Linked DNA regions of Caenorhabditis elegans. The protein of the gene in region 2 interacts with the protein of the main gene of each other region in a pairwise test. Each region holds a gene or a part of one and is shown on either strand. Other genes may lie near its edges.

Region 1 (6,522 bases), on a different chromosome or scaffold from region 2:
ATGCAGGAAGTGATATAGTTCGAATGCAACTCATTGCAATATCGTCCGCTAGGGTACTTTGGATTGAATTCAGATGCACCATGCGAGATTCCTCTAGTATTCTCAGCGCTTCTTCAGGATCAAGAAGACGTTCTCTGGACAATAAAACGTGCTTCTTGTATACTTTTTCAATTCGTTTTCTAGCCTCCTTTTCCGATTCGGGCCGCTCGAAAAACTTATTTCTATTAATATGTTCATATCCCAAATCTCCACGAATCTTGATATTTCTTTTCTTCTTTTGTTTGCTTGATGTGAAATCATCACTATCGGAATCAGAATCAGAAGAAGACGAAGATTGATTATCTTGTTCTAGAAGACTTTTCTGAAAATCTTCTTCACCAGAGGACTCTCCCGGTTCGTATGAAAATTCCTTCTCGTTACTATCAGTAATATTACGATTTTCCTTCTTAGTTTTTGCATGCTTCCACCGAAGTAGTTTTTTGCGGATAGTGTACTCATCTGGCTGAAATTTGAATATTTTAGAACTTGAAATGCTTCACTGCACTCTACCTCTACAAATTCACTTTTTTTGTTTTCTGATGCTTCAAGAGCTTGTACTTCTCCGCTAGTGAGTCCTCCGATCGCAGGAATACTCGATCCAAAACCGACATATGGCAAACGTCCAGAACTCGGTGGTGGTTGGTAAGTAGCCGACATTTGTAAATAGTTGGCGAACTGTGCGGTTTGAGTTGTATGTGATTGCGCGTGATGTCTAAAATTTGAAGAAATAAAGAAAAAAGTTTCGAAGCAATTAAAAATAAATATCTTTAAATTGTATTTGTTGTCTGAGTGTCTAAGACCAAAAATTTCATTAAAAAAACATTTTTGGAAAGTAACACTCTGCTTTTATAATTCGCTTCGCGTTTATATTCCACAGTTCTATAATCATCTTATCAATAATTTTCATAAGATTAACTTGAATAGTGGTTGAAACTTCATGAACTATTTTTTTCTAATGAAAACTCACTTCAACATAAACTCGGTTCCAAATGTTTTTCCGCATTTTATACAGGTATGATTAGCCTCGTGTTTTTCTTTGAAATGCTCTTCGATTTCAACAACAGAATGAAATTCTTCAATGTTACATTCAGAACAACTCAGCGGAAGTCCAATGTTTAGTTCAGACATCACTTGAAATTGAATTCGTATTCCTTTCCCTTCATCTTTCAACGGTTTTGGGAAGTAAGCAACGACCGGAACCAACGGTTGACAAGAATGGTTCATCTGTAAAAATAATTGTAATCAGAGAAAAAAATGTATAATCACTCATGACTCACCAATGCAGTTGCAAAATACGTCCATCCTTTCTTTCCTTCGCCTGATGGTTTTACCGACAGCCACAATCCGCACTGAGAACAGCAGAGGTACATGTACGCGGCTTCAAGATGTAAAGTTTGCTGTTTGAAAGTTAATTGACGCAGGTACTCCGCAAACTCTTTGCAATCGTGTTTAGTTAATTCATATCGAGACGGATAAACTCTGTAACAGATATCACATCCGAAAAGGTGAACCACGTCATGATGTCCTAGGTAGTGTTCAATAGTTTCACACATATTTAAGAACAATGGCTGATTTTCACAGCAATTTGGGCGAACAGTTGTCCCGCGCGCAATCGGACTTGGCTGGAAAACTTTTGATTTAGATAAATATCAACAACCGTAAATTTTACCGGATGACGCGGGTCCGTGACCGAGATTTCGGAAAGCGGCATCGGCATATTTTGAACAAAAAGTCTTGAATCGAACACATCCTTCCTTGCAGCATACTCCCAATCACGACGAAACGTTGGAGGCATTGCATTGTATACATGACGAATACTTTTCAATAGGATTTCGTCATGATCTTCATTATTTGCCCCAACGATACAAAGTTTATCGACAGTTTGCCTGAATTTTAAATTGAGAATCTGAACGTTGCTTTAGAAACTAACATTATCGAAAAAATCTGGTTATCACTGAGCCATGCACAAAACCGTCGAAATCCTCCAGAAGCCCTCCGTACAGCAGGTTGTGAATCTAGTCGGAATCCAATTACTCGTTCACCTTCTGCTCGCGCATCTTCTGCTAATGGGACAATCGTTTTAAACACATCTTCTTGTTTTGGAGGTCTTGAATATTGACTAGCATAGGTTGGTAAACCCGGAACTTGAAATTGACGGGATGCGCCTTTTGCATTAGGTTTCTTCTTTCGGCCAGAATTACCCTCATTTTCTTCCATATAATTTTCGTCCAGCTCATCTCGTGTTCTTTTCGGCTTTTTCCGGTTCCCTCGGCTTCCAAAATCGGTAACCAGTGACTGAGCTTGAGCTTCGTCACCTCGTTCAATACTCGCGTAGTTTACTGATCTACGGGGTCGGGAAGAGTGTCCAAATGTGGATAACGGAGCTTTCGATTCAAGAGGATCTCTGAAATATTCAATGTAAGTGTAAATATAATTCCTTTTTGATTTATGGTAATGAAAAAATAAAAATTTAACCAGGTATTTAGATTTCGTTCAGTTAAATGAAAACTCGGTGAAACTCAGTCTAAATTGAATTTAAAAAATTACCTGATGCAAGAAAAATGTGAGGCCCCACGAAAAGGGGAGCAGAACGAAAAGGGGATCTGCAAAAAGGGGATCTGCGAAAAGGGGAGATACGAAAAGGGGAGCTGGCACTGTGCCAAACGCACAAAACGCTTTTTTTATTCTCATTCAACGCACGCATTATTTGTGTATTTTACGCTAAACAACGCGCGATGCGTAATAACGGAGTGTGGTTATAACAAAGTCGTGCGTTGAATGAGAATAAAAAAGCGTTTTGTGCGTTTGGCACTGTGCCAGCTCCCCTTTTCGTTGCTCCCCTTTTCGTATCTCCCCTTTTCGTATCTCCCCTTTTCGCAGATCCCCTTTTTGCAGATCCCCTTTTCGTTCTGCTCCCCTTTTCGTGGGGCCTCAAAAATGTGAATTGCGAATGAGGAAAGTGCGCTCTAGTGGCACAAATTTAAATAAATTCGCACAAATTTAGCAATTTTAACAAATGTTTGACTGTGAATGCTTTCTAAGTGCATTTTTGAAAGTTTCCTTGAATAACTTAAACTTAACCTACTTTTTATATTCTTCTGATCCTCTCTTCCTCTTGACAGCAGGCTCTTTCATATCCTTTTGCATAAAATCAGCAAGCCGTTGTGCCTCCTCTTCTTCTCTCTGTTTGGCAGCTGCTATCTCATGACTGAGATCAGATAATCCTGTACGCAGTGGAGCGCTTTGATTGTTATTCGCTTGCTGAAACTTTCTCTGGGGTAATTTAAACAACTTGATTACTGATTCTCACCTCATCTGGAACTTCTGGCTCCTCCGTTTTAACGAGTGGGGCTGTTTGGTTGAGCTGTTGAAACAGCTCAAACTCATCCATAGTTGTTATTTGGAGAGCTGAAATTTTTTTTGAAAAAGGCAACAGAAAAAAATGAGAGAACTGAACGAAAAGAATGACTGGAGATAAGCTTTATCTCAAAAAAAAACTAAAATATCAATCTACATGAACTTCCAGTTTGAATCAAAGATAATTATTCAAGAATCTATCATATGTTCTCGAAATTAATTTACGCCTAACTTGCGTATTTTTAAACGTTTGTTCGGTTTTTTACGATGTATAGTGAATACCAGTAACTTAATTGTTTCAAATTTGCGCGTGAAATATACTGCAATTCGTTGGCTAACCTCACTACTATGATACAAATTTTATACGGGGCGCGGTTATGTGGGCGTGTCCGACCCATTGAACACACTTATAAGAACTCTTTAAAATGTTTAGGTTTTTTATTAGATAAGTTTATTTCATTGGAGGTCTAATGATTTCAAAAAACCGAACTCTGAACTTTCGTGAGCCCTTTCCCACTAATTACTGATCTCGACACGACTACACGCAGAATCAGCGCACATCCTGTCATACTTCAAACTCAATATATTTTAAAACCCCCGAAAAAATAATATTCTCATTTAAAAAAGCAAAATCCGGAAACGTGTTACGGAATCGACAAAAATTTTGAAACTGCGACAAAAATTTTTACCGATCTTTTGGCGCGCATTGGAATTGAGAATTTGAAGGCTGTGTCATATAGAAAGTACCGCAGAGCGTATATGCCACTCTGCGTCTCTCATATTTATTGGTCAGACGGACAAACGATGGTAGGAAGACTATGAGCAGCGGAGAGGGCGCAGAGAAACGAGACCTATTTCTTTGCCCTGCTGCAGTGTCTACTGCAACGGGGCTAGCAAGGACGAATCGATTGGAGAAAAAAGAAAAGTGAATGGGTTTTGCCCAAAGTGTTTGCGTACATTACGGCGCTATATTTGACGACAGTTTGAAATATTTAAAAATTTAGCTGTGCAACTACAGTAATCCACGGAAACAAATTCAAAAAGGACTGGGGTCTAAAACGGTCAGATGATTCAAAATAAAGAAGGGTATCTGTAAATGGATACTGTACACTGAAAATAATAAAATGTTCTGTCGCGTAAGTACAGACCCCAAAAATTAGGCAGAACTTTCGAAAACTGTGCAAACACACCAACCAGTTTTATTATCGTAATTTCGCAACAAATTTCACTCGTCAGTTTAAAGGCACACGTTGTTTTTCTGAGCGGGTCTCGCCACGATCACAGTCATAGTGATCGCTACAGGTGCCACATTTTTCAGATTTATTCATTTGAAAAAAGTACATTGTTAAATTCTATAGATTTGAACAGTATACAGCTCCGAAATTAGAAAACAGCTAAAGTGGAAATTCGAGCAAGCCCACATTTGAACCCAATGAGCAGGAAAAATAAAATAAAAGCAAGAAAACTTAAAGAAGCGCTCAGTCAAGAACTCTGCAACTATAGTGTGGTCTTGCAGCGATAATTTTACTGTACTCTAAACTATATTTATTTTCTCTAGAAAACAAAATAATATTCAAAAACACACTACACATTTTTCCGGTCCCGTGTGTGTTAATGTTCACCACGGCGCACAATTGCGGACACTTCGCGGCGGTCAATACAATTTTAGGCCACTGCAGGGAAGAGAGAAAGTGGGCGGCGGCAGCCCGCGTAAATAACCAGCCACACACGAAACGAGACTGAATAAATGAAAAACCGCGACGCAGCCGCTGTGCACGATTTCTCGTTTGGGATACCTTCAGAAAATTTACAAAAGTGAGGAACGGGTGGCGTGACCGCGACGCGACCGCAACGCAGAATCAATAACTCCAAAATAGGATTAAAGTTTAAAAATCAGTCAATAAATAACTTTGAGAAGAGAAATTAGGATAGAATTAAGATTCGATATTGATTTGAAAAGTTAATACTGGGCTTAGGAAAAGTTAATACTGGAACTTTGCAATATAAATTAATTTGTAGTGTTACTAAAAGAATTTTAATTTTGAAATTTTAGAAAAAATTAGAAGAACAATAATCAAAAAACTAAACTTTTGGATTTACTGAAAACATTTGAAAAGGGAAATGTAAATAACTGTAGAAACAGGAAAATGTCGAGCAATGCGAATTTCGGTAGAGCGCACTTCCATAATTCGAAAACCGCAACGCGCACGCAACGCACAGGATTTACGGAAACAGGAAAGGAGGAACCAAAAATTCGGTTTCGCGCACGCTTATTTCGCAACCCTCGCGCGTTTTTTTTTCACAGCAAGGTTAGAACATTTTAAGAAAAAAAGCATGCGGGGGTTATGAAAACACACTACCGAAAATAAATAGAATGAATTTCGAAAATTATTTTCACCGATATCATTTGCTACAGCTGTTGAAGCTTCAACTATGAGTACAGTTATGCGGAAAAATACTTTTTAAAAATTAATTTTTGGGACTACAAAGTCTGTATTTTAAACTACCATTGGTACGATGCGGTGCGAATCGGGAGGTGGTCTTCATTAGAGCGCGATTGTTAATTCAACCGCGACGTGCACGCGACGCTCTCAAAAAATGTTCAAAATTTGAAAATAAGAGAGAAAAAAACACGCCAGCTGACAACTGCGTCAGCAAAACTGGTCTTGGTTCACATTGGCAGTGCGTACAACACACCTTATCTTACGCGCAAGTTGGATATGATTTTCCAGGCGAGACCCGACTGAAGATGTACGCTCACGCGAAAAATACGGATTTTATTTGTTTTGATAACTTCGGATGGAAAAAAAAGAAAAAAACCAATTTTGTTAAATTGTAAAAATAGTTAGTATAAAACGCGTAACGATAATTCATTTCTCATTTTTTTCAATTTACAACTACTTGTTTCAAGGCTAGCAAAGATACCGTATGGATAGGTGAGTATCGATAGAATTTCTCGAGTTAAAAAAATTAGTTTAAAAAAATTTAACTTTTATCAGATCAATAGCAAAAATGTTATCAAACCAACAGATTCGCAATTTTTCACGCGGAGTTGGTCACTTACGTAGAAGAGCTGCAAAAAATAACGTGATAAAAGTTAGGCCTGAAGAGTAAGTCTAAATCATT
Region 2 (8,078 bases):
GCTGGGGGACCGATTTTTGATGACGAGCTGGGAGCAGTGCGTTGGTGATCCTTGACTTTCTGTAAATTATGTTTTGAAGTCGGTCAATTTTATTATTATTTAACAAATGAAACTTACTTTGTAAAATGCATCAAATTCGTCATTTGGAAGTTTTCGAATTTCAGATCGCATCATTCCAACCAATCTCGCCATTTTTGAATCACTCATAACTCTCTTTATGTATCTCCTCAGGAAAGCAGGATCGTCGAAACGTTCATCAACATATTGTTTATCTGTTTGAACGCATTTGTCCGCAGTTTGCTTGATTTGAGGAGCCACAGTCACCGGATTGAGTTGATCTATCTGGATATCATTGGCAGAGGGTGGGCTGTGAAAATCCGGAAATGAAGGTGCGTTTGCGGGACTGGAGGACAATTGAGAAGAGTGTGATGAACTCTGAAAATTAATTTAATAGGGTGGGATATTCCAGTTAATTTTCAATTTACCTGCGAAAATCCGGAAAATGACGAACTGTGCGATGGGCTGGGACACGGAAATTGCAAAGAATGGTTCGAATTTGGCGAAAATCCAGAAAATGGTGAATCATCGTGGAGAACGCTGTAAGCCGAGCCAATCGATGAACTAACAGTGCTGGCACTCGACGCTGGCCTATTGTAAGGATTGTAGACTGGCTGTGAGAAGAATTCATTTGCTGTGAGTGCTGGCATCCGGGAACTTTCACCAATGTTGGTGGAATACGTATGTGATAAGTTTCTTGCCGCGGATTTCTTCACCGAGCCACCAATATCAATATCGCATGGTTGGGAGAAGGATGTCGGCTGTGATGACGATCCTCCCTTCCGTTTCTCGACACTGTTGTACCACACATCTATAATTCAAAAATGAAACTTGAAACTATTAAAAGAATAAAGAATACCGGTATTTGTGGATGAGCGATTCAAATGATCCTTAACTGGAGTCTCCGAAATATAAGCAAATTTTCTGACAGTTGACAGAAAATTCTCCCGATCTTCGCCACGAAGAGTTAATCGGAAACCTTGAGCCTGGTTGTTTACAATCACGAACAAATTTGTGTTCTTCATTCTGAAAACCGGGCAATTTGACTTTAATTTCTCAAACAACAAAGACTCACTTCAAACTCGGATACCTAGAAACTTCCATGTTACAATAAACGGTCTCGATCGGCTCGACTCCATGAATAACCGTCAGCTTCCTGCTATTCACCTCCATAACAACGCGAATATCTTTGCCCTGCAAATTTAACTTTTCGATACAGAATTCATCTATTTTTAAAACCTCTTGTCGATTACCGCTTCCTCTCAATTGCTTATACTTTATGATCGGCCACTGGAGTGTCTGCAATTCAGGAAACATACTGAAGAGACTGCAAAAACATAAATAATTTTTTTTTACTAAAAATGTCTAAAAATTTCGACCTCATTGGACCTCAAAATGTGAAAAAATTCAAAATTGCATGCCGGTCGTGGCGAGACCCATCCATCACTTTTACGCGCGAATTCAAATTCAAATTACCAAGCATATCTAATTTAGCTAATTCTCGTTTTTTTAACTTAAAATTTAATCGCATTTATGTAATAGATAAAATAAAAATTTTTGATAAATTGATAAAAAGTTTATTATGACGACAAACTGCAATAAATTAAAGCCAAATGGAAGGCAAAATGAGTACTTGGGAGCAATGATTCACACGAAAATGCAGGGAATAATAGTCAAAAAGGCGGTATTCGGAAGCGGGAACCCGTATAGTAATGGTTCGTTGAAGAAAGAAAAATAAAATAAATAAAATACAGGCACAGGAAGTATGTGAGAAGGGATCGTAGCTGTACATATTGGGATCGCAGATAAAATTATTGAGCATCAGCCTCGTAGCATTGTTGGTAGGCTGTACGGACGAGATTATATGGGAAACAGGTTTCAAGAACATCCATCGACAGCCAACGGTTTTTCCGAACCATCTGTTCAAGGATAATGTAGAGAGTTGTGTGGGAACGAAGAACGTCGTCGGATATTTGTCGACTGTTATCACGTTCATGAATAGTTCGTAGAATACCCGAGGACGCGAGCTGAAAATTTTTCTAGGTGAGAATATGTGTTAATAATGATAGAGCTAACCGCCAAGAACTCCTTCATCCTCGACTGGATATCATTTTGCTCGTGGAGATGGAAAAGAGCTGATCCGATAGTGTTAATCGCCATTGGAACACAGTGACTATTGTTCAAGCTGGCTGAAATTGTTTATTTTTAATTTTTGCAAAAAGCTGTAAAAGTATGTACCTTGAATGCTAGGCTTGTAAGACGAAAGATCCGACATTCCAATTCGTGGAATACAGATAGCGACGGCAACCATCAATAGACAACTATTAACATAGTGTTCTTGAGGGTGAATATTCGGATTTTGAGCACGAACCGCATTCACCAACGACATATCAACTGGTCCTGTGACTCCCATCGCAGCTGACATTTCTCCAATTTTAACTTTATCAACATCGTCCAAATTGTGATAAAGCATATCAAATGATGCTTGAAGAAATGGCAATTTAGATTCGACGATATGACGAAGAGCATCGTGGAGAGCATCACGAAACAGACAAATCTGTCCGATAATAATAGTTCTTTGCAGAATTGCATCAGCTGCGCATGTTGCGTTCGGAGTTTTCTTGTCCTTTGGTTCGACGCTCAAAAGATTTAAAACATCCTTCATCTTTTCAGCATTATCGAAATTAGATCTAGCAATCTGTAGAGCATCTTTGTATGTTGCAACAATCTTGCTCATCTCCATAATTTGACTGGCCACGTGCCAAATCAGCCGTTCAGTCATCAACTTTACTCCATAAGGTCCGATAATTTGAACCAATGCTCTCAATTCTTGAGGATCTGAATAATGATCGGGCATGAACGAGAGTTGTTCCTGTCCTGATGATAACATTGTTCGTAGATGCTCACTCCAAACCATATGACCAGATGAAGCACGACGGAGCAAAACTTCGAGATACCATTTCGTGTAGAGTGCTGCGATTGTGTCTTTATTCTTGGAATCAACGAGTTGAGTTTGTTGTAGAAGAGTTGTTTGCATTGTATTACTGATATCCACAGAAACTGAAATTCCATTTATGAGAATATTTATAGATTATTTTAAAAACCACTTACTTGCTGTATCAAGATTTTGAAGAACCGTCATGTAGGCTTGTAGCGCAAGGAGCATTTCACTTGGTCTTTTTGGATTACTTGCATGTGGTTGACCTTCCCAGAACATTCCATGAAGCAATTCTACAAATTTAGTTTCAAGGGACTGCGCTAGGTACGTCCTCGGTGCAAATGTGTGATCAGCAACGTAAATTTGACGATGAGCTCCGAGAGCTGCAGAGATTTCAACTGAAAAGTGGGAAATTTGTGATATAAAATCTAATTTAAAAAACGTTTTAAAACTTACGAAGAGTTGTTTGCAACTTATCAGGCATTGTTAATGCTTGACGATCAACTCGATAACTTTCTTCTCCAGCAATGAAATAATCTCGAGCGGCTGCTGCGGCCGCCGCTGCAGCTTTTCCAGATCCTTTCTGTTGAACAACTTGAGCAACAACTCTTACAGCCACGGCGCTCGGTGTCATTTGATAAGCTAATCCGAATTCATGTTCAGCCACTTTTTCCAGGATATATGACAATTGTTTGCACGTCTCTTCAATTACAGAATTGCATTGAGCCAAGGCTTTTTCAGTGATAAATGCTTTTTCTTCAGGACACATGTCATGGAGGGCGCTTGTGAAATGCGCGGCAAGACGTGCAAAACTGAGCACATATCGAGCTTGAGCAGGTAGCTGGAGACAGTTGAGCCAATGTTTTTCAGCGAGTTTTGGATAGAAGCAGTATAATGATAAATCACTTGTTTCCCTTAGCATCTCGTCTTGCAAATCGATCATTTTCAGATGAAAAACTGAAGTATTCATGTATATTGCGAGTTTTTTATGTCTTGAAAGTTGGAAATGGCTCCGAGCAGCAGATGTCCAAGCTTGAAATCTAAACCAGTCTAGTCGAAGAGCACGAAGATCCGTATCAGAGTTGATATTTCCTATTTCGTTGGCAAAATCGGTCAAAAGAACCGCTTCTTCCTGGGTGAGGCCATTTGCTTGGTTAATCTCTTCAGAAACAACAATTGAATCATAGCTAGACACGTACTGAAAATAAAAAAGATTTAAAATAGATAAATTTAAAGTTTTAACAAAACCTGTAGATAGTATCTTTGAATCACTGCATAATATTTCGTAACGAGATCTCTTAATTCCAGCATATAAAATAGCAGTTCTGGAAGTTGCCTGTCAACAAGCTCCTCGACCATTCTGCTGCCTTTTTTGCTGATAGCAGGAACTTCAACTTGATGCCGTAGAAGCCATATGACCTCATCTCTTCCTGCTCCAAGAGCCATCCAGACATAGAGAATTTTCGGGCCAAGTAGTCCGGGCTGATCTCGTAGTAAAAGTGACAGCTCTCGAAGAGAACTTCTAAGGAAGCGGCGACGGTCTGCGTGGACGGCAACTCTGAAATACAAATTATTAGAAAACGCTTTGTTTATCATATTTTTTAACTTACGCAGTAACAGATGCATGATTGAACGCATCTTTAACATCTTGTAACCGTTTGCTTTTTTCTTTGGAAGATTCTAAAAACGCTTGAATCTCTTGATGAACAATAAATGTTTCGTCTCGGAAAACGCGAAGACACAGATTCATTTGAAGTGCCAGCTGCCACATGTGCCTAATGTTGTCATCGTTAAGAAGAGTTGAATGGCATACTGTTCCGCAGACTGAAAATATTACAATTTTAATAAACATTTTAATACTAATTTGTATATTAACTTACACACAATCCATCGATCAATGACGTCGAGTGATAGATATTCGCATGCAATCTGAAACGATTTACATAAATAATTTTCCATTAAATAAAAACTTGCTCACAGTTTCTGTTTGAGCAGCATATAAAATTTGTGCTGGAGCAGCGGTCAACGAGAAAACATTTGATGTTCTCCATGAATCTGCTGTCTTGTTTCTGCGCTGATATGTGTGTGTAACAGAAGAAAGAGCTGAATAAATTAGCCTGTTCAGTGGTCCGAGATCTTCATGAAGCTTTTTTAACGGATTTTCATAATCAAGAATCATTTGTCCTAATCTTGGAAATGATGCTTCACTTTGTCCGTGTTGTAGATCATATGCCGCATTAAAAAGTCCAAGAACAGCTTTCCGGTCTTCAATTCTTGATAAAAGAATCATCATTGTGACGAGATGTACAACAAGATTCAAATAACTCGTTGTCAGGTCGTAATTGAGCGTCTAAAAAATAAAATTTTAGCTTAAACATTATACGAACGATATAAATATTTAAAATCAATAATATACTCACCACATCCAGCTGACATTGACATGATTCCATAGTTGTCAAAACTTGCATAATGTGATCTTTTAAATCAAGAATATCAGCAAATGTGTAGTAATATAGCGATAAAGATTTTGTAATTTCCGTGGACTTTTCTTGTACATATTCGAACGTCGACTGAAATTAATTTCGGCATGAGAAATCAACAATTTGAACTACTCACTGAATTCGATCTGCAATCAACAACAGGAAACTTTCTAACTATATGTTTGATTGCACCTTCCATCTTCTTGTCGCTAAGAAATTGTGGTTTCACTTTTGAATCTGAAATCTTCAGCATTTTATAACAACAGAAATTTTCAAAGACTACTCACCGCCGCTTGATTTCTTAATATTGTATATCCGTGTCATCATTCCAGCAGCACGATCATTCAGTATCACAAGTTTTTCAGCAATTTTCACCTGTCTGGCATCTTTGTAAGCCATTTTGCTGAAAATTGGAGAGAAAATTGAAGGGGAAATGAGTCACAAATTGGATTACAGTTTAAAGGCGCATTCAATTAAACAAGAGGTGTCTCTCACCACGGCTGTGCAAGCATGCTCTATTGCGCTCTTTTGTTGGCGGCAGTTTGAACGAGAGAGGGAGACCGTTATAAAAAATGTAGACCACGAAAAATCTAGACCACGAAAATATTTAAAAAAGCTATTTTCAGACAGATTTTCAGGTTTTTACAAAAGAAGTTTATTTAATGGGGAATAAACTTCTTGTTTTATTGCAATTTGTCACCGCAGAATATGATCTAGATCACCGTGAATGGCACTGACGAGGTTCAAGAACTGGAAAAACGAACAAAAAAAAATATTTGGAATGTTTGGAAAAAAAAAACATAAAATCAAACTGAAGAACTATTCACCAAATATGTTGCTTTTATGAACTTTCAAGCTTTTTGTGAACTTTTGTGTCGACTTTTCTTAAAAATCATATTTTTCCAAATTATTTCCCCACTTTATGTATAGTGATTGTTTAGTGAGAAGAACAAAAATTCCTTGTAAATCCCTAAATACAGACAGACAGTTTCACATCCAATTACGAAATATTTCATTTGATATTTCCAAATATTTCCAATTTATATCTCTTCGTCCCTCCGTGGCAGCTTAGTTCATCAAACCTTTCCACCGTCGATTCGAATCGGCTTTCTTATCAGGTCAAATGCTATAGATAGCTGGTCTCTCTCCCTCTCTCTCTCTCTATCTCTCTCTCTCTGATAGTCCGAAGAAATTCTCACATCGTTTACAATAGCGAACAACACCGAAATGGCTGTAGATGGAGGAGAAGAAGAAGAAGCATGAGACCAGCAAGGATCGGGAAACTGTGAAAGAGAGAAACGGGTTTGACGAAAGGCCGGACGGATGGTTAGCCTCTCTTTCTCTCCCTCTTTCCCGGGAGGCCTTCCTTTCATTCAAATGTTTCCATCGCTTTTCGTTGAATACTTCCACTCACTTTTGTTACTTCTACACATTTTTCTTCATTTCATATCTTTTTATGAAACTTTTTGGATTCAAAGTTTTCACTTGTTCGTTTCATTTAACTTGCAAAAAAAACAACTATCTTCATCTTAAATCTGTCAGAAAAGGTGCGAAGTCATCGCATTCATACAGCTTCTCCATCTTCTACAGCTCGCCTCATTCAATCTATTCACTGTGTCAAACGTGTTTCTAGTTTCCATATGTCTATACAACTTTTATCTCTTCCGTTCTCTGTAATACAATTATTTTCTGTTCTTTTGAATCGTTTTACACACATTGCGTAATACCGATCGAACAGTTTCTATCGGGTCCTGGCACGCGCGGAATTTTTCAACTACCGTACCTCTTTGATTGTTTCGTTAGTTGAAATGTTTCGATCGTGACAAGACTCAAGTTGGTGATTTTAAATTAAAATTCAAAGTTTTTGATTTAAGTATTTAATAGCATAAACTTTGACAATGCTGCACTGATTTTCCAAATTAGGCTCCGCCCATATCTTGGCTCTTTTGAAATTTTACATTGCATTTTCTCGTACTTTACTTCTACATAGTCTACGAACACAGAATAGATACCTAAAATAAACTCAAAAATTCCATACTTTTTGAAACTGTGCATGGCAAGCTTTTGACCTAAAAGCTTATATCTCATAGTCAGACATTTCAGATGCTATCCAGGATTCGTCAACTAATAAGATATTCATCTTAAAAGTTTCCAATTTTCTTAGTTCAAGACTTTTTGATAACTCTAAAGTCTTACTAGATATAAATATAATTCTAAAACTTTTGCAATTTTCTATATTTCGTTACAGCCCAAATATTCTCAAAACATAATTATTCCAAATGTTGACTTGTAATTTGATCTAAACAAAAGAACTTATTCAAATCCAAACATCAGTTTTTCGTGTTTCTTTGGCAAATAAATTTGCAAAACCCGGAAAGGGAAAGCAGTTCAGTTCCCACCTGGAACAGGTCTTTCATTGAAAGACCTGACTGAACATGTCTTTGAAATTCATAAACAAAATGATTTGGTGATAAAATAATGATGGCAAGCGGAAGGAGAAGATTCGAATGTGGTGGTGTTAATGCCTACAGGCATAGGTTTAGGCGGCCTGCGCCTATAGGTCTATAGGCGCACAGGCAGGCACCGATTATGTGTGTTGCAAA
Region 3 (9,313 bases), 1.5 Mb from region 2:
TGACAATTCTACATGATTCAATAAAATCCGATTTTGTGGGTTTTTATTAAAATAATGTGAAACATTTGATAGAATTATGACTGTACTGCAAGAGCATAATTGAATACTAGAACGAGCAAACCTGAAAATATTTTTATATTTTTTAACGTTTTCTACAATTTTTAAACATTTTTTAAACTTTTTCTCTTACATACTTTTGCAGGAAGTCACGAGATTGCAAGAGATTGAACATGACCATAACAGTGTTCTGTTTTGTTAATGAAACAGTAATTTTATCCGATAAATTTACTACAACTGAATAATTATGTACGTTCCCTCGTTCTTTCGATGAGACTATTAAAATTATTTTTTTCTAATTTTTTTGGTTTCTTGGACTACGAAAAATTGCTCAAAGTGTGCTAGATTATTTGAAAACCCGAAATAAATTTGGATGAATTCAGTACTAAATTAAACAAGTAAAATTGAATTTTTATAAAACCTATAGATTTTTAAAAAATATCCCCAAAAAAAGGTTTTCCACAATGTTATTTTGTATAATTGACTGCGAAATATACCTAGCCTTTAAAATTTAATTTAAGATGATCTCGCATAGAATCAACATTGAACCACAATACAAACAAATCTTATTATTGAAGCAGTAGAATTTTGAAAAAAAATCACTAAAATTAAATGTCTATTTTCTTTTACTGTAAAACTGGAATTGAGGCCATTGATGAACCCATTGCAAAATATTTTCATATTTTTCTGAATACACTTTTGATGGTGGAGTATGAATCAATAAAATCCGATTTTGTGGGGTTTTATTAAAATAATGAGAAACATTTGAAAAAAAAAGAATTCCGACAATCAAATCATTATGATACACAAATTAAAAATCGTGTGCAATCGTGGAAAACTCGAGTGAATGGGTTGGGGTTTTTAGTTGCAGTGGTTTGTGTTGAGAGAAAAGGACACTTTCGTTTAAACAGGTACCAAACAGGGGGTGAGAAATGAACGAGTGAGAGCCAACTTGTAAAAAAGTAAGGGGAGTTGAAAAGGCAAACATGGTATGGAAAAAGGTGATATTTAAAGATAATATTGCAAAGGATGGTGGTGGATTTTAAAGATATATTGAAACATTAAAATAAAAATAAAAAAGGGGGTAATAGCCTCGACAAATATTTTTTGGGGGGAAACAGATCATTGGAAATTGAGACGCGTACAGTGTTCAAGAGACGGAAAGACATAGAGAGAAGGTGAGAGAGAGAGAGTGTGAATGAGAGAGGTGAATGGAGGAAGACCAGAGCTCATCAAACTACTAATTTAGTTGACTAATTTTTTTTTGGAAGATTTTTACTTTTTTAAAATGTTTTAAGGGAAGAACTACTATGGAAAACTGCTCTCACACTCCGTGTGCTGCAGCCGACACTTTCCGAGTTGCGCGCATCACAGCTATAGCCTCAGCAACGCTCTGTGTGTTGCAGCCGACGCTTCCCGGGTCGCGCTTTCCAAAGTAGTACTAATTTTGAAATTTCTACGGTACGGGGGGTTGTGGTAGGGTTTTACAGGTTTACAATAGATGTATATTCGGATGGTTGCAAATTTTTACACGTAACAGGGTTGCGACAGAAATGGGAGTGGTGTGTGTGGGTGTGGGTGTGAATCGATCAAAGAGTGTGAAAATACCTGAATGAATGCACCAAAATCACTGTTTTAAGGGAGAGAGCGAGAGACATAGAATTACCGAATTATTTTGAATGAAAATACAAGAATTTTTGTTAAATTGGGATCCCAGAGTTGGAGTGGAGGAGTTTTGCACTTGTAACACAGCTTTTTTTGAGTGAGTGAGAGAGAGAAAAAAAGAGAATGACTAGTAAGTAACACTATCTATCAAATTGCCTATAATGGAATCACAGAGAGTAGGTTTTGCAAAAAAAATTGTTTTGGGGAACTTAGAAAAAGTGAAGGCAAGACAAAAACGTGTAAGTGAAATGGGGGTTTGAAATTTGAAATTTAAAATGTGTTTTCAGAAACAGTAAATAAAAAAAAGACTGACTAAATCACCAGAAAACACGAAACCCGAACGATAAAGTTCTACGCGACTTGTTTCCAGGTTTGCCGGAAAAAAAACATTTTGATAAGTATCTCATATTATAGCACAAGCGTCTTTGACTAACCCGTTCGGCTATAAAATTACATGTTTGAATGAGGGAGGAAGAGGAAGAGGAGTGTGAATGGGATGACTTTTTCAAGGGAAAAAAACAGGGAAAGAAACATTTTTTGAGAACAGAGATTGATGATGAGTTGGGTGGGGACTTAGAATTACTGCGTGTGAATATGTGTGTGGTTTAGACTCGGTGAAAAGCAAAAAACGAAAGAACATCAAAAATGGGGTATGAAGTATGACAAAGAAATTTGGTATGTACAATCACTCAGTTACCAATACGGAGTGAGTTCAAACGGGTGCCGTTGAGCAAGTCGGCGGTTCCGAAAGGGTCATAGTAGCGCTGAGGTTGGTTAGCACTACCATCGTGGTTTGGGGCTGCTGGCTGTTGGTCGACTAGGCCGACACCGAGAGCCGCGGCGGTAAGAGTACGGTCTCCAATTGATCCGGCATCTAAAAATTGTAAATTTATAATTAGTTCCCATTGTAGTTTTGACTTACGATTGGATGGCGAGAAACGATCAATCTGGCTGGCACCGTCAGCACTTGGTGGGCTTGCCGATCCTCCAGAAGCTCTGGAAGAGGATCCACGAGTGTTTCCAATGATCGCAGCTCCACCTCTTCCACACTGGCACTGACAAGTGCATCCGGTACGTCCAATTGGATTGTAAGACATACGATCCAAAAAGTCATCAGCCTGAACACCAATGCTTCTCTCGTTCTTGGCGCTTGGCGGCATGGCGAGCAACGAGTTGTAGTTGACTCCCGAGAGAAGCGTCTCGTTCATCGAGCTCAACGGAGTAAGAGAAGTGAGACGTGGATTCGCGTTGGTGTTGTTCGACCAGGTGCTTGGGGAGAAGAGAGGGCTCCATTGGTCTCCACTGTTTCCGCTTTGAGAGAGGGAAGATTGAGAGTCCCAGAGGGAGCCCGAGCGGGTCGCTGCTGGAGTCATGGCGTGCTGAAAAAGATGTAGTTTTGTTTATAGAAATTTGAATTTTCAGCACGTGAAGAGCATGGTCAAGTTACGAATTTGTGAAATTTACAAAAGTTTGCGCTATAGTTGAACAATTTTTGATAAAGCTAAGGACACCCGAGATATAGGCTGTCAAAGTAGAACGATGGGTGATCTACTGTGGCCCCAGAAAATTTGCTTCCTGAAAATTACAGCGCTACAGATATTCTAGAACTATTCGTGTCTTTTGATCAAGCACGACAAAGCTCTACGGCATTGCAGTGTTCACCTCACAACTCAACTATTTGAAAGTGATAACTACTGTTTCATCATCTTGTGAAATATTTTGTGATTTTGGAAAAAACCGCTACGTTGTTAATCTAATCATGGATATACTTACCTGATGCTGCATGAGCAAATTCTGTGGTCTTCCAGTGGCGAACGAGCTGCCCATCTGAGCCGACATGGTTCTCTGAATTCCACGTGGTGGCTGTCCGTAAGCCATCTGCTGGGAACGAGTAATATCCATTTCTTGGAAGTGCTGCTTGATGAATCCGACATAGTCATAGTTTGGCAGATTGCGACGAACAGAGACATAGGTGCGGTTGGGGAACAGAGCAAAGACCCAGTTGTGAGCAGTCAGCAGGTTGAGGAAGTCCTGACGTCCTTCTCCAGTATGGCTACGAACTTCTGGCATGATGTCTGGGCTACCGTAGTAGTCGAACAGCGACTGGATTGATGTGGCTCCACCACGACGGAGAAGATAGGATGCCAATTGGTAGACAGCTTGATACACTGCTGGATACTGAAATGGAATAGATTTAGAATATCTAAATCTTCTGAAGAATTGCTTACCTGAAGAATGATGGAGTCATCATTTTGAAGACGGAAGAGATGAGTACGACGCTCCACGAATTGACGACGCTTCAACGATGATGTGCCAACATAACGGAATAGCTCATCATCCCCACAGTTGGACATTTGAGAGTGAAGGCTGAAACTCCTGAAGGGTGTCATGGAGATGCCGTCGAACAAATAAGGTGAGCAAGGGAATGGTCAGTTAATATATAGAAAGGAGGCACAAAAGAGCGAAACTTAGCAATCAAGCAACTTTCAAAACATCTATCCTACCTGCTCAGCTGAATCTGCTGCAATCCGTGGCGTTGGAAAATTGCCAAGAGAGCTGGAATCGCCTTCTGCTCGAGAGCCGGCGAGTAGGCATCCTTCGAGTTTGGTGGAGTTGGATTTGCCGCCTCTAGGTCGACTTCTTGGGAGTTTGCAAAGAGAACATCAGCATCGGGACCATAGATTGGTGAGACAATGGTGGCGGTGTACTCGCTTGTCTCATTGAGTGCAGCGTGGAACGACAATGTGAAACCAACACGAAGCACGGAAGTCAAGTCATTGAGCATCTGAAAATTTGTCAGATGTTGAAGTGAGGCTAACCTTGGTAGATCATAGAGATCATATGGGTAATTAGATTAGCTAATTTTATAAGGTACTTTATAATCGAAAAGGGTTTGTACTAACCTGATCACAAAAGTCCTTGAGCTGGAACGAGATGATCATCTTGTCCTTGCAAGTGATCAGACCAGCCTTGGCAGACAACCAAGTCAACACTCCGAATCCATGGATGGTGTCGGCTCTCTGTTGTTCAGCCATAGACGGTGGAAGGACTTGGGATGGAGTGACGAGAGGCTGTGGAGGGACCATCTGAAGTGGATGTGGGTTCTGGTACTGATTCAGCATTCCGAGTGTTGGCATGAATGGGACCGCGTGGTTCCCAAAGTTGTCCGGGGCTGAAATAAACTGATGTCTGGGAGAAAAATTAAAAAATTTTGCAGTTTCAACTATTTGATTTTTAAAAAATATTAAAACCTAAAAATTAATTATGAACCCGCAATGCGAGCTCACTTCGTTTTGAATTTTTGCTTAATCATGAATATCTTAGGTTTTTTCGCTGATAGTACCCAACGTGGAAACTACGATAGGTTACGGTACGGGATCGAATGTTTGAACACTAACTTTTTACTATTAGTTTACAATTCTACTGTTTCAAATTTAACGGAAATATTGGCACCTGACAAATTTACCTCAGTTTTCAATTAGTAGGTTGTTCTAGAAAAAATTTGAATGGAGGGTGAAATGGAAGTTAAAACTATAAAATGGAGTGCGTTTCGAATTTATTCTAGGTCCCCTCTAATTGCTCACCGTACTTTAAAAATTGCGTAATCATAAGCGTCCTAGGCATTTGACACAATGCACAAAGTTGAAACTACGGTAGGTTAAGGTACGTAGAAGTTATATGATGGCCGTGGGTACAAGGTGCTCGAGAAGTGATCCCTGTACGCAATTTGTGTGCCGTATAACTGTAGTCACTGCAACCTGGTTCGGTAGAGTGCATTTGCACTACCCATTGCCTTCGTAAGGTTCCGTTTTACAGGGGCATGTAATGCTAATCACATTTTTATTAAAAAATATGATTTCGCTGCGGGACCCGGCCCCTCACAAAATATTGCTTCATAATATCTATAAAGGTTAACAGGTAGGAAGGAAAAGTAATACCATTTCATTCCGACAAAACCTTAAATGTCGAGCGGATCCTACAACTACAGTACCAGATCTCTTGAAAATCTACCGTATTCCGTAATATTCACAAATGATACGGCTGCCTCTAAAGGGTCTACCGTAGAAAACTTGAGGTTCCTAGGAGTACCTTTATAATTTTAATTGGCTAGTCCCGTGAACCTAGATTATCAGAAAAAATACTGTTACACAATGGATATAAAGCAAACGCGTGAGAATCAAAAATATTGTTTGGTCCAATTTAATTCCGAATTTCCTGTTTTAGTATTGCATGCAAGACTAAAAGAGATCACGATTAATAGACGAAATACGGTATATGCTTACGTATCCAGTACCGTGATTCGAGTACCTCTACAGTAACCAATAAGTCAAGCGGATCCTGTAAAGACTACAACACGAGATCTCTTAAAAATCTACGGTACTCCTTAAAGGGTCTAACCTAGAAAACCTGGGTATCTAGGAGTACATTTATAGTAACTCTAGTCCTTTAGTCCTATGGTGCACACGAACAAAAAAGTACTGTTTCACAATGGTTATAAAGCAGAAGCTTAAGAATCAAACATATTAACGCTTTTAAAAGATTTGCATATGAACTTTTATATATGTTATCGTATCCAGTACCGTTATACGATGCACACTAAAGCCTTCCTTGTAGGAGAGGTATTGTTGAACTTAGAGCTAGACAATCGGGGGCTCGGATCGATATTGATCTTTGAGTACTGGTGGGGTGCTTCCTTACCTCCCATCTGCGAAAACTGTTGGAGTGACCATAACGACTGTGGTGGCTGTTGCTGCTGCTGTGATTGTTGTTGAGGTGGTGGTCCCCCTCCGAGTGGTTGCTGATTCGACGAGAAGAGACTATTCATTTCGTAAGACATCCCGTTTCAAGCTGTCTTCAGTCCGTTCGTCGTCGCGTCGATTCACACACCACAGACAACACAACACGTCGATCGATCGTTCGGGATGGATGACGTGATGGATCCTCGGTGCCTCGAGAATACTGGAATACTGATTTGATTAGATTAGAGTAGTTGGTTAAGGATCGGAGATGACTTAGAAGGAAAAAGTAAAAGAACAGAATTTGGGCAGCAACATACGCACTCAAAAATATATGTATGAAAACTAAACTGAATAGAAATATAAGAAGAATAAAACGAAAAATAGGGGAGAAGACGGAGAAAAAGTATGTGAAAAGAAACAACATGGGGGTTGTGTGTAGTGAGAGAGAGGGAGAGTGCATCGTGTGAGAGAGACAGCTAGAGAAAAACAGAGAAAGACGGGAAGATGTGCGCTGTGTCCCGAAAGGAGAAAGAGAGAGAGAGTGCCCGCCGCTCAACACTCACGCTCACGGACGCTCGCTCGCGCAAAAACGCTCATCGGAGAGTAGTGATCTCTCTGTCTCGGCGTCTACGACTCTTCTAACCACTCTGTATATGTGTGCGCGAGCGTGCCCGAGGGACACCAGGTCTGCGTCTCCGCACTCTCTCGCACTCACCCTCATTTTCGTTCGGGTGAGCCAGCAACGCAACACACAACCCACTCAGCCCACCCCGGCCCGGTCTATCTATCTATTGGGGGACTGAGAGAGAGAGAAAGGGATGGAGAGAGAGAGAGAGAGGAAATCAATAAGCACACAGGAAAGGGTACTGCAGCAGAAGAATAGTCTATAAAAATATATGAATATGCATGTGAAGAAGAAGAAGAAGCGTCATCAAAGGATTATCCTCGCTTCACAAGCTTTAAATTGGTCCTGGGTCCCTCCACGCAGCCAAGTGCGCTCTACTGCACTACTACAGTATACCTGTCAAGTAACCAAAAAACATGTTGATAAGATGTAGTCTACTATTTTTTTTTCAAGTGATAAGGAGTACTAGAGTTGCGAAATGTTGTTAGGGACTTTTTTTGGGGCTCGGAAAATGACGAATGTGTAATAAGATACAGTAATGCGAGATTGAGGTCTCGCGACGAGCGAATTTTTTCCAGCTACCGTACCCAAGAGTACGGTAGAATATTTGTAGGGTTTCCCAATACGTTTGATATTTTCACATGAAAGTTAATAGTTTTTTGTTTTTTTTTACCTAAAGAAGAAAAAAACCAAAAATTAACAAAAAATATATTCCTACAGTACTCATGAGTACTGTAGCTCAGAAAATTTTGCTCATGTCGCACTGCTTATTAAATTAATCCAGTTGTAATTTTCGAGAAACATTTTTTATAAATTCAGTGAAACGGAAAAAAAATCGTATTTCCATTGGGACTGGATTTAACGGGTCTCGCACCGACTTTTTGTGATTTTTGTTGCAAATTTTTGTGCTACTGCTAATTTAATCAATTCTATTGTAGCTAAACTTTTTGGGAGCACGGAAAATGACGAATGTGTAATAAAATATAGACTACAGTAATCCGGGGTTAAAGGCGCTATTACTCAGATGTACAAGTTTGCAAGTTTTAAAGTAAAAACACGGTAGTAGGTCTCGAAACGACTTAAACTTTGCAGCTACAGTACCCACAAATATTATTTCGCAATTTTCCACGTTTATTTAAAAAGGAATTTGGCCTTTTTCAAGATTTTCAATAAAGTCATATGTAGTTTTTGTATTTAAAATTTTCAAAAATTTTACCGAAGCCGCGTTGCAAGCGGAAGCGCTGAAAATTTGCAGATTGGGGTCTCGCAACGAGCGAAATTTTTTCAGCTATCGTACCCAAGAGTACGGTAGAATATTTGTAGTGTTTCCCAATACGTTTCCTCTTTTCACACCAAATTAAATATTTTTTTGTTTTTTTACCCCAAGAAATAACTGAAAATCAAAAACTACAGAAAGAAACCAAAAATAAAAATAAATTTCTACAGTACTCATGGGTACTGTAGCTGAGAATTTTTTTTTCAAAAGTATCATGCCAGTTCTCGTTTTATTGTTGTAATTTTCGAGAAACATTTTTTGTAAATCCAGTGAAACGGAAAAAAATTGATTTTAATTGGGACTGCCGGGCGGGTTTTATCGAGTGTCGCAACGACTTTTTGTGGTTTTTGTTTCAAATTTTTGTACTACTGCTAATTTAATCAATTATATTGCTGCTAAATTTTTTTGGGAACACGGAAAATGAATATGTAATAAAAAACAGTAATCCCCGTTTAAAGGCGCTTAACGAATTATTCAGATGCGCAAGTTGGCGATTTTTGAAGAAAAAGCACGGTACTGGGTCTCGAAACGATTGAAACTTTGCAGCTACAGTACCCAATATTAATATTTTGCAATTTTTCATTATTTTTGAAATATAATAATACCGAAGACGAGTTGCAAATGGAAGCTTATTATTTTTCTGTAAAAAGCAGCGCTGAAAAATTGCAGATTGAGGTCTCGCAACGAGCGCTTTTTTTTTCAGCTACCGTACCCAAGAGTACGGTAGAAAATTTGCAGGGTTTCTCAATACGCTTGCTCTTAGATCTTATCACACGAAAGTATATAACGTTTTTATGTTTTTTTTTACTTTTAGAAATTACTGAACATAAAGAAATAAAAATAATTTTTTACAGTACTCATGGGTACTGTAGCTTAGAAAATTTTTTTCGTGCCAGAACCTGAATCCGATCTGTTCTAGAAACACTCTTGCATCTTATCAATCCAGTAAAT
Region 4 (7,581 bases), on a different chromosome or scaffold from region 2:
ATGAGTGTCCCTTTAAAGAGTACTGTAGCTCCAAACATTTGGCGCGGCGAAATAAACAACTGGAATATAACAATAAAAATAATCTATTTTCTAAAAATTTTGAATTTAACAAAAATGTTGCCGTTTCGAGATCGGAAACAGGGCTGAGCAGTCGCCCAAAAAAATCGGCGATCGGCGATCACCAATTTCCGAAAAATTTCGGCGATCGGCGTTCGTCTATATTTTTATATTGAAAAAAACCAATTTTAACGAGTTATTTATAAAAACAATAACAAATGAATAAAATCAACATGTTTGGTAAGGAAATGCGACGAAAAAATTAACATTTACTCAAAAAAAAAATTAAAAACAACAAAACAATCGTAAAAAAAAACATGAGATTTTAAAAATCGAGATGAATTTATTGAAAAATTCCATCGGCGATCGGCGATCGGCGATCGCCGATCGCCGATTGCCGCTCACCCCTGATCGGAAACACCGTATTTTTGGAGAAAAAATTGCAAAATTTCGGAAAAATTTCATTGACCCTAAAAATAAATAAATAACGTGAACTGTAATGGATTACAAAAACACAAAAACAGACAAAAACTCGTGGAAAAAATAAAAAGAAGAGATTCAATCATTTCACAATTTGCTGTCATTGTTTCGAAATTCTAAATCTGTATCATAATGGTAGTTTCGTTAAACTTGCCCGTTCGACAGACTGAGGATAAACGAAGACGTCGAGACTAGGCCACCAATTTTCTCTTCGGAGTTTCAATAATATATGATTCATGATTTACTTTTTTAAGAGTTTTTTTTTTCAAAAATGCTAAACTTTTGACACTAAAATGTTTCTGAATTTTTGAAAACTTTGAAAATTAAATGTTTAAAAATAATTTTTTTGAAAATCTCTCAATTTTTTTTCTTCGAAAAGCTCAAAAAAACGATAAATTTCCGCATTTTGCCCAGAATTTAACATGTTTCGTCGATAAATCCGTATAAAGGAATCGATTTCGACGACAGTCACTTTTTCCCACAATCTTGGTATCGGTAAACGCGCTCTATAGATAAAGTCTCAATGGAGCGCATTTGCATTGTGAAATTTGATATATTTGTCGTTTCAGGAGATGCGAGTTCTCGTCTCATCTTGTCAAATACCAAATTTTTCAATTAGACGGTGCAAATTTCACAAATCAACTTCTTCGACTGCTGTCCGAGCGGGGAGTTGATGAGAATGGAATTAACTTTATTAGTGAGTCTTAATCAAGTTTGGGTCTCACCGCGAAAACCGTAATTGATTGGGGACAATGGGACCCAAGAGAGCCCAATGGAGCGGAATTGCAACTCCTATGAATTTTCCAGACGGAAGTCTCCATCACCGGACCCCACACAGCACAATGGATTCCGTGGAACGGGCGGCCGTCGAGGAAACTGTTTTGAGCAGTCCGTATTTGTTGCGAAAAATAATTCAAATGTATTATTTTGACTTTTTGCTATTCGGGTATAAGCTTCCTGATATTCCAGTTGAAAATTAGGAAAGTTCTTTATATGTATTTAATTGTTGTTAAATAGTAAAAATCGATAAATTGCTTGAATTTTGATAAATTACGGCCACGTCAATTTTTAGATAATTAACGGGCAAAAAAAGATTCTGGTGGCGACCTACAACTCACAAACAAAGATGACAACAGGGAAAATGTACACGTGGCAATATTGTGAAGCTATATGTATATATAATGAATAATGATATGTAAATTTGCATAATACAGGAGCAGTAGGTGATTGCTGGGGCGAGTAGAAATGTGGGTTATTATCTATCGATTACCATTACACATGAATTACGCTGGATTACGGTTAGAATTTTGTGAAAAAAAAGAAGTAAAACGCTGGGGCTATAAATCTATAATTGTCGAAGATGCTCAACGAGCCAGGAACGAGGGGAACATTGCGTCAAACTGGGCGGTCAATTCCATTAATGATGGTGCAGCTTGTGCATTGATTGCTGCAGCAGTAGGGACTCCATGCCTCATCACCGAATCGATAATCTTCTTTCCAGATGAGAAACGCTCGAGACGGGAGGCGTGTTGGAGCACACGCTGCTTCATTTTCTCGTACCATCCAGAGTAGAGAAGCAGAATAGCTGGTGGAAGTTGACGTTCTCTGGAAAAAACAAGATTTTCCTTAACACTTGGATTTACAGAATTAGTGAATATTCAAATCAGGGTGGGCGGCAATTTTTTTTCCGGCAAATTCAGCAAATTGCCGATTTGCCGGAAGTTTTTAAAAGGATTTTTAAAAGACGGAAACACTTAAAACTGTGCCTTTTTGAAATTTTCTCCCGATTTCTTTAGATATTTTCATAGATTTTACTGACTTTTCAAAATAAATGTAGGAACATTTATAGGATGCGTACAATTTTGCCGATTAAAATTGAGACTGTGAAATTTTCAGAAAAAATGTGCCGAATCACAATTTGCCGAAAATTTTAGTTCCGACAATTTGCCGTTTGCCGGAAAAAACCGTTTTCCAAGCCACGTGGATCATTTTTTGAAGAAAAAAATTGGGCAAATTTACAGAAACTTTAGTACCATGTGGATTTTTTAAGAACTATTGCCAAAATACGTGGAATGTTCAGAAATTTTTTGCCTTTGTGAAATTTTGGATCTTTCTGGATTTTCGGAAAAAAATTCAAATTTTTCTATGAAGACGAATTTCTGATTTTTTAAAAAATTTTTCACCGAACTCAAATAATACTCAGACGCGAAATTTCACGTTTTTCCGATCAAAATACGGTACCCGGGGTCTCGAATCGACATGCAGTATTTTTCTCGCTTTGTCATAGTTTCTCGATAAAAATGGATTTTTTTGAATTCAAAATCCTTAAGTTTCTACCCAGGGGAGAAAAAGTAGACTATAAAAATTTGAAGTTAAAGTACTCTTTAAAGGCGCACTTTTTTCGAATTTAACCAAAAATTGACGTGTCGAGACCTGGTACCGTATTGTGGTGCGAAAATCATTTAAAAAATTGCGTCGATTTTTGGTTTTTTGTTATTTCAAAAAATGTTCAATTTTTCAAAAAATTAGCTTTTAGATAAAAATAAAAGGTTTTTCCTTCTTTTTTTCCGGCTAAATAATTTTAAAAATCCGTTTTCCGGAATTTTACCACGTTTCATCACAAAAAAAAAAACTAACTCTTTGCCAATTAAAGCGGCGGTGCAAATCGAAATCATTTGCTGGACGACATAGTTGCCATACTGATGGAACAGAAGAATATCCAACGCATCACGATTCAACTCGACATCCTTCACATATCCACTGAAAATCTCCTCCATCATCTCGTGAAGCAACGCGGGCGGTGCAAACAAGAACGCTCCCTCGATGACGTGCGACGCGTACTTGTCCTGTGACATTGAGAGCAAGTTACGGAGCAGGCATTTATCGATGATAGTGTCTCTGTACATTTCCATGATGCCCGACGATTTGATGACGTATTGGATGACGTAGTTGGCGAACTCGTTGGAAGACAGCCGGTAGCAGTTGCGGACGATACACGTCATCAGAGAATGCAACAATTGAATACGGAATTTGAAACACGGGAGCTTGGGATTCTCGGCGAGTCTATCGATGACCTGTTGCACGAGACGACATCCATACTTGTCCTGGCACACGGCCATCAGTGAATCTCCTGACGAGAGGAAATGCACGAAAAAGGTCCACATGTCAACTGGAAGTTGCTTGACGACACGTTGAATCACGTGGATCGAGATTTGATCAGTGCACATTGCCGCCAGGTCGAATGTGCTGAGCTCTTGGATGAGCTGGAAGACGTTGGAATGGTCGAATTTCTGAAATTAACAAATTATTGATTTATTACACCTGGCAAGGCCTAAAAAGACCAAAAATAGCCCTAAAAATTTCGAAGAAATGGATTAATTTTAGCTAAAACGTAATTTTTTGCCAACTTTTCTGTGTCGCGATTTTTTTAAACCAAAATCGAAAAATTTCGTTTTTCGATATTTTGAACAAATTTCAATTTTTACGGGAAAATTTCTTAAAATTTAATTATTTTCCTCTAAGAGCCATTTTTTATGTTTTTTTCATCGACAAAAAATTTTCGTTAATGTGTGCACCTTTAAGTAGTACTGTAACTTTAAACTTTCATTGCTGCGGATTTTTTTAAAAATTGATTTTCAATGTTTTTCTACAGTTGTCGTCCAATTTCATGCAATTTGGAAAAAAACAGAAGGAAAAAGTGAAACGTCGATTTAAAAAAAATTCCGGAGCAATGAAAGTTCGGAGTTACAGTACTCTTTGAAGGCGCACACCTTTTTTGTTTTAACAAAAATTTGTCGTGATGAGACTGGGGACCGTTTTTCGGCGGAAAAATCGCAAAATTTCGGCTAATATCGAAGAAAAATCAATTTCCGACCGCTGCGACACTTTAGCAAAAAATTGTGATTTTAGCCAAAATTCAGTTATTTTTCGGAATTCCCGTGGCGAGACGTATTTCTCCCACCTGCAGAGCCAACTGCACAACTCGACATGCGAATTTATCCTTGCACATGACCAAAAGCCCTCCGTCGATCATTTGACGAAGCAATTCCCGCTGCTCGGCCGGTGTTGCGAGCTCGACGAGCTTCTGAACGATGAAATTGCCATTTCGACTGTGGCAGAGCCCCACGAAGAGTGTCGTGGATTCAGTGAGCTTCTCGAAGACGGCTTTACGAATCTGATCTTCGGAATCCAGTGGATAGTTGGCCTCCAAGAACTTTACGCCCGATGGATCGATTGCGAAATCGATGAGCAGCCCGTTGAGCAGCACCTCTTCGAGCGAAATGAAAATCGGAGCAGCTGGTGGTGGGGTCTCATCGTCGGAAGATCCCGATCCACTGTTGAAGATGTAGTTGTCCAAGTCGGAGGAGGTGGTGTTGCTTCCGTGGCGGTAGGGAAGAAGCTTGACCGGCGGCTTTGGATTCTGGAAATTCGAATTTTAAATTTTTATTATATTTTTTATTTAAATTAGAAGTTTTTATGCAATATTCTACCTTGTTCTTGTGAGTTTTGTTCGACAAAAGCGAGAAATCCGGGTCGAAATCGAACGACGCGCCGAGCATGTTGTACGAGTCCGTGCTTCTACGATTCGGGGTCATTTAGACGGAAATGAATGAATACAGGTTAGTAGACGCTGAAAAATTTTGGGAATTAGGATTTTCAACGGAAAAAAGAGTGAAAATGAGAGGAAAACATGTAAATTTCAACGAAAATCGCTAAATTACCGCGCATCAAAATTCAAAATTGAATTTTTCGCGGTGGCCCGGGTTACGGTGATTTTTAAAGGTGCATGGTTGTTTTGAGTAAGGTTTTGACGCGAAATTTAAAATTATTGAACACTTTTATTTTATTTTTACATTTTTGAAGAAAAAAATTATTATAATTCGATTTTTTAGGAGAAATTAAACATTTTCACAAAAATTGCAAAAAATCGCTCGCCAAAATTCGAAAATGAAGAGTTTGGCGGTGCTCATGGATTACGGTGGATTTAAAGGCACATGGCTGTTTTGTATTAGGTTTCACCACGAAACTTGGAGTTTTTGATAGTTTGCTTCCCATTTTGGGATTTTTTTTTTAATTTTCGCTCGATTTTCACACATTTTCACTCATTTGCACTCAATTTTTTTGCAGAAAAATGTCAATGGACATTGTTATGAAGTCAGATGAGCAGCCGTTCATCTCTGCGCCTGTATGCTTTAAGTAAGCTCCAATTTTTGTTATTCTGGCCTAAAATTATTTTTTTTTGATTTCCAGAACGTTCGCATTTTTCGCCAAAGCATCCGCAGAGGAATGCAAACTTCTAGCTTCGGGCTCCAACGCTTGAGAAAGTTTCCAGCAGGCCACGGGGCTCTCGGAGAAGATCACGGAAGACATTTACCGCCAAATTGAGTAGGTTTTTCGATTTTTTTACCCTTAAAAACTACTATTTTTCTATTTTCCAGCGTCTCCCACATTTCGTCGATGGTCTTCAACAGAGAAATGGACGGTGGCATCGAGAGAAATCGGCTCGGCTCGCAAGCGATTCTGCTCGACGAGAACTCCAGGCGCCGCAATCCACAGTTCAAATCGATCGCGCTCCGCTCTCTCCGCTACGATCACATCGATCATAGAGCGTTGGCAAGGAAATCGCCTCATCTGATGCCTCCGACTTATATCAAAGAGGAAATTATGGATGATGAGATCGACGAGGTGAAGGAAGAAGTGGTTTCCGTTGGAGAAGCCGCCTTGCCCACGCCAAAAGTCGAACTGAACATGGACCATCCGGAAAAGGACCTGATCATCAGCATTTCCGTGTATCTCGGCTACACCCGTACCCTTCAATACCACGAGATTCGCCTCGGACGTTTGATGAAGGTCACGGATCGGCTCGAGCTCACCGGAGATCACACGCTTCGCGATCTGAAAAACGCGTTCTCGTGCCCCATCGATTTCTCGTTTTCCGACGATTTTAGCGAGAAAAAGCCGTCGTTCAAGGATATGGCGAAAAATAAGTGGCCGTCGTCGATGTTCTTCATTCATGACACGTTTTATATCGACTCGAACACTGGCAACCAGTTTGTGGATCCGTCGATGTGAGCAAGGGTGCCGGCTAAAAGTTTTTCAGTGTTTTTGAGCGAAAAGGAACAAATTTTTTCTGAAAATTATTGATTTTTCGTTAGTCTTCAGAAAAAATGATTTTTTACGCCGCAAAATCGGGAAAAAACAAAAGAAAACTGAAAATTAAGACATTTTCGTTGATAAAAACGAATTTTTTGGTTTTTTTTTCAGAAATATATTATTTTTTGCTCTATTTCAACAAAAAACCCCAAATTTTCAGCACAATCCGAACTTGGGCCAAAAAGTTCGACTACATCGGTCCGATGCACGTGAAACAGATGTCGGAGACGAGGATCGGGGATCTCATTTGTCGGCTCGGTCAGCCATATGTCTACATTCATCAAGGCGTCTGCGAGCACCTCATCGTCTTCAATGACTTGTGCCTGAGGTACGGAAATTCTGGAAAAATCGAAAATTTTGATTTAAAAAAAACTCAAATATTTATGTGTTCTTTTTTTTACTAAAAAATTTTTTTCAAATTGTTTATGAAAAAAACACTAAAAAATAAGTTTTTATCAATTATTTAAACAAAATTTATATTTTTCGATTATCAAAATTGTTTTTTTTTTCAAATAAAATACCCCGAAAAAAATATTTTTTAAATTTTTTTTTCTATGTTTTGTGAATAATTTTTTTTGCAGAGATGAATCCCACACAAACGTCGAATTTCCACGCCGCCTCGTCGAACGGAATTTCAGAAGAATTGCATGTGACACGTGCAAGGAGGCGTCGGCGCAGTGAGTAGTAGCATTTAGAAATTCGGAATTTTTTTTGAAACCCCCGAAAAATATAGTTTTTATCGGAGTTCGAATTTTCGAAAAAAAAATCCAAAGAGAATCGATTAACGCAAAAATCATCAATTAAATCCAATTTTTTCAGCTGGATGATCGTCGACCACGACAATCTGCTTCCCAACTCGCCAGGCTATCTGTGCTCTTCGTGCTACAAGGA

What was found.
Region 1: the proteins of gex-3 (region 2) and lin-13 interact in a two-hybrid assay, tested with the Caenorhabditis elegans proteins (one large-scale study listed by BioGRID).
Region 3: the proteins of gex-3 (region 2) and lin-66 interact in a two-hybrid assay, tested with the Caenorhabditis elegans proteins (one large-scale study listed by BioGRID).
Region 4: the proteins of gex-3 (region 2) and puf-6 interact in a two-hybrid assay, tested with the Caenorhabditis elegans proteins (one large-scale study listed by BioGRID).

Annotation. Positions count from the first base shown.
Region 1 is NC_003281.10:7,706,043-7,712,564, forward strand, and holds the start of lin-13 (Zinc finger protein lin-13), read right to left. Parts: upstream 3,450-6,522; 5' UTR 3,431-3,449; coding exon 3,350-3,430; intron 3,307-3,349; coding exon 3,125-3,306; intron 2,444-3,124; coding exon 1,970-2,443; intron 1,926-1,969; coding exon 1,709-1,925; intron 1,662-1,708; coding exon 1,317-1,661; intron 1,264-1,316; coding exon 1,007-1,263; intron 970-1,006; exon of another isoform or gene 820-969; intron 752-819; coding exon 550-751; intron 503-549; coding exon 1-502. Other genes in the region: C03B8.3 (TMEM65 family protein), read left to right, coding at 6,325-6,332, 6,396-6,506. UniProt on the Caenorhabditis elegans protein: Involved in repression of vulval fate, possibly by a tumor suppressor protein Rb-mediated mechanism. May act in a common pathway with retinoblastoma-like protein homolog lin-35 and hpl-2 to influence the ER stress response in the intestine.
Region 2 is NC_003282.8:12,402,231-12,410,308, reverse strand, and holds gex-3 (Membrane-associated protein gex-3), read right to left. Parts: upstream 5,879-8,078; 5' UTR 5,875-5,878; coding exon 5,763-5,874; intron 5,713-5,762; coding exon 5,612-5,712; intron 5,566-5,611; coding exon 5,416-5,565; intron 5,346-5,415; coding exon 4,974-5,345; intron 4,925-4,973; coding exon 4,876-4,924; intron 4,820-4,875; coding exon 4,606-4,819; intron 4,554-4,605; coding exon 4,244-4,553; intron 4,194-4,243; coding exon 3,452-4,193; intron 3,394-3,451; coding exon 3,169-3,393; intron 3,118-3,168; coding exon 2,296-3,117; intron 2,247-2,295; coding exon 2,134-2,246; intron 2,085-2,133; coding exon 1,869-2,084; 3' UTR 1,619-1,868; downstream 1-1,618. Other genes in the region: dsb-1 (Double-Strand Break factor), read right to left, coding at 1-59, 118-435, 486-868, 917-1,083, 1,133-1,251, 1,297-1,374. UniProt on the Caenorhabditis elegans protein: Rac effector required for tissue morphogenesis, cell migrations and egg laying. May play a role in egg laying and in yolk protein clatherin-mediated endocytosis by oocytes during oogenesis.
Region 3 is NC_003282.8:13,885,457-13,894,769, reverse strand, and holds lin-66 (GATA-type domain-containing protein), read right to left. Parts: upstream 6,682-9,313; 5' UTR 6,560-6,681; coding exon 6,421-6,559; intron 6,370-6,420; exon of another isoform or gene 6,349-6,369; intron 6,268-6,348; exon of another isoform or gene 6,247-6,267; intron 5,931-6,246; exon of another isoform or gene 5,910-5,930; intron 5,679-5,909; exon of another isoform or gene 5,658-5,678; intron 5,216-5,657; exon of another isoform or gene 5,194-5,215; intron 5,020-5,193; exon of another isoform or gene 4,982-5,019; intron 4,895-4,981; coding exon 4,626-4,894; intron 4,508-4,625; coding exon 4,227-4,507; intron 4,099-4,226; coding exon 3,951-4,098; intron 3,901-3,950; coding exon 3,496-3,900; intron 3,488-3,495; exon of another isoform or gene 3,464-3,487; intron 3,102-3,463; coding exon 2,645-3,101; intron 2,597-2,644; coding exon 2,412-2,596; 3' UTR 785-2,411; downstream 1-784.
Region 4 is NC_003280.10:13,038,279-13,045,859, forward strand, and holds puf-6 (Pumilio domain-containing protein 6), read right to left. Parts: upstream 5,168-7,581; 5' UTR 5,133-5,167; coding exon 5,028-5,132; intron 4,958-5,027; coding exon 4,499-4,957; intron 3,828-4,498; coding exon 3,175-3,827; intron 2,143-3,174; coding exon 1,902-2,142; 3' UTR 1,517-1,901; downstream 1-1,516. UniProt on the Caenorhabditis elegans protein: RNA-binding protein that binds to the consensus sequence 5'-CUCUGUAUCUUGU-3' in mRNA 3'-UTRs and modulates mRNA expression and stability.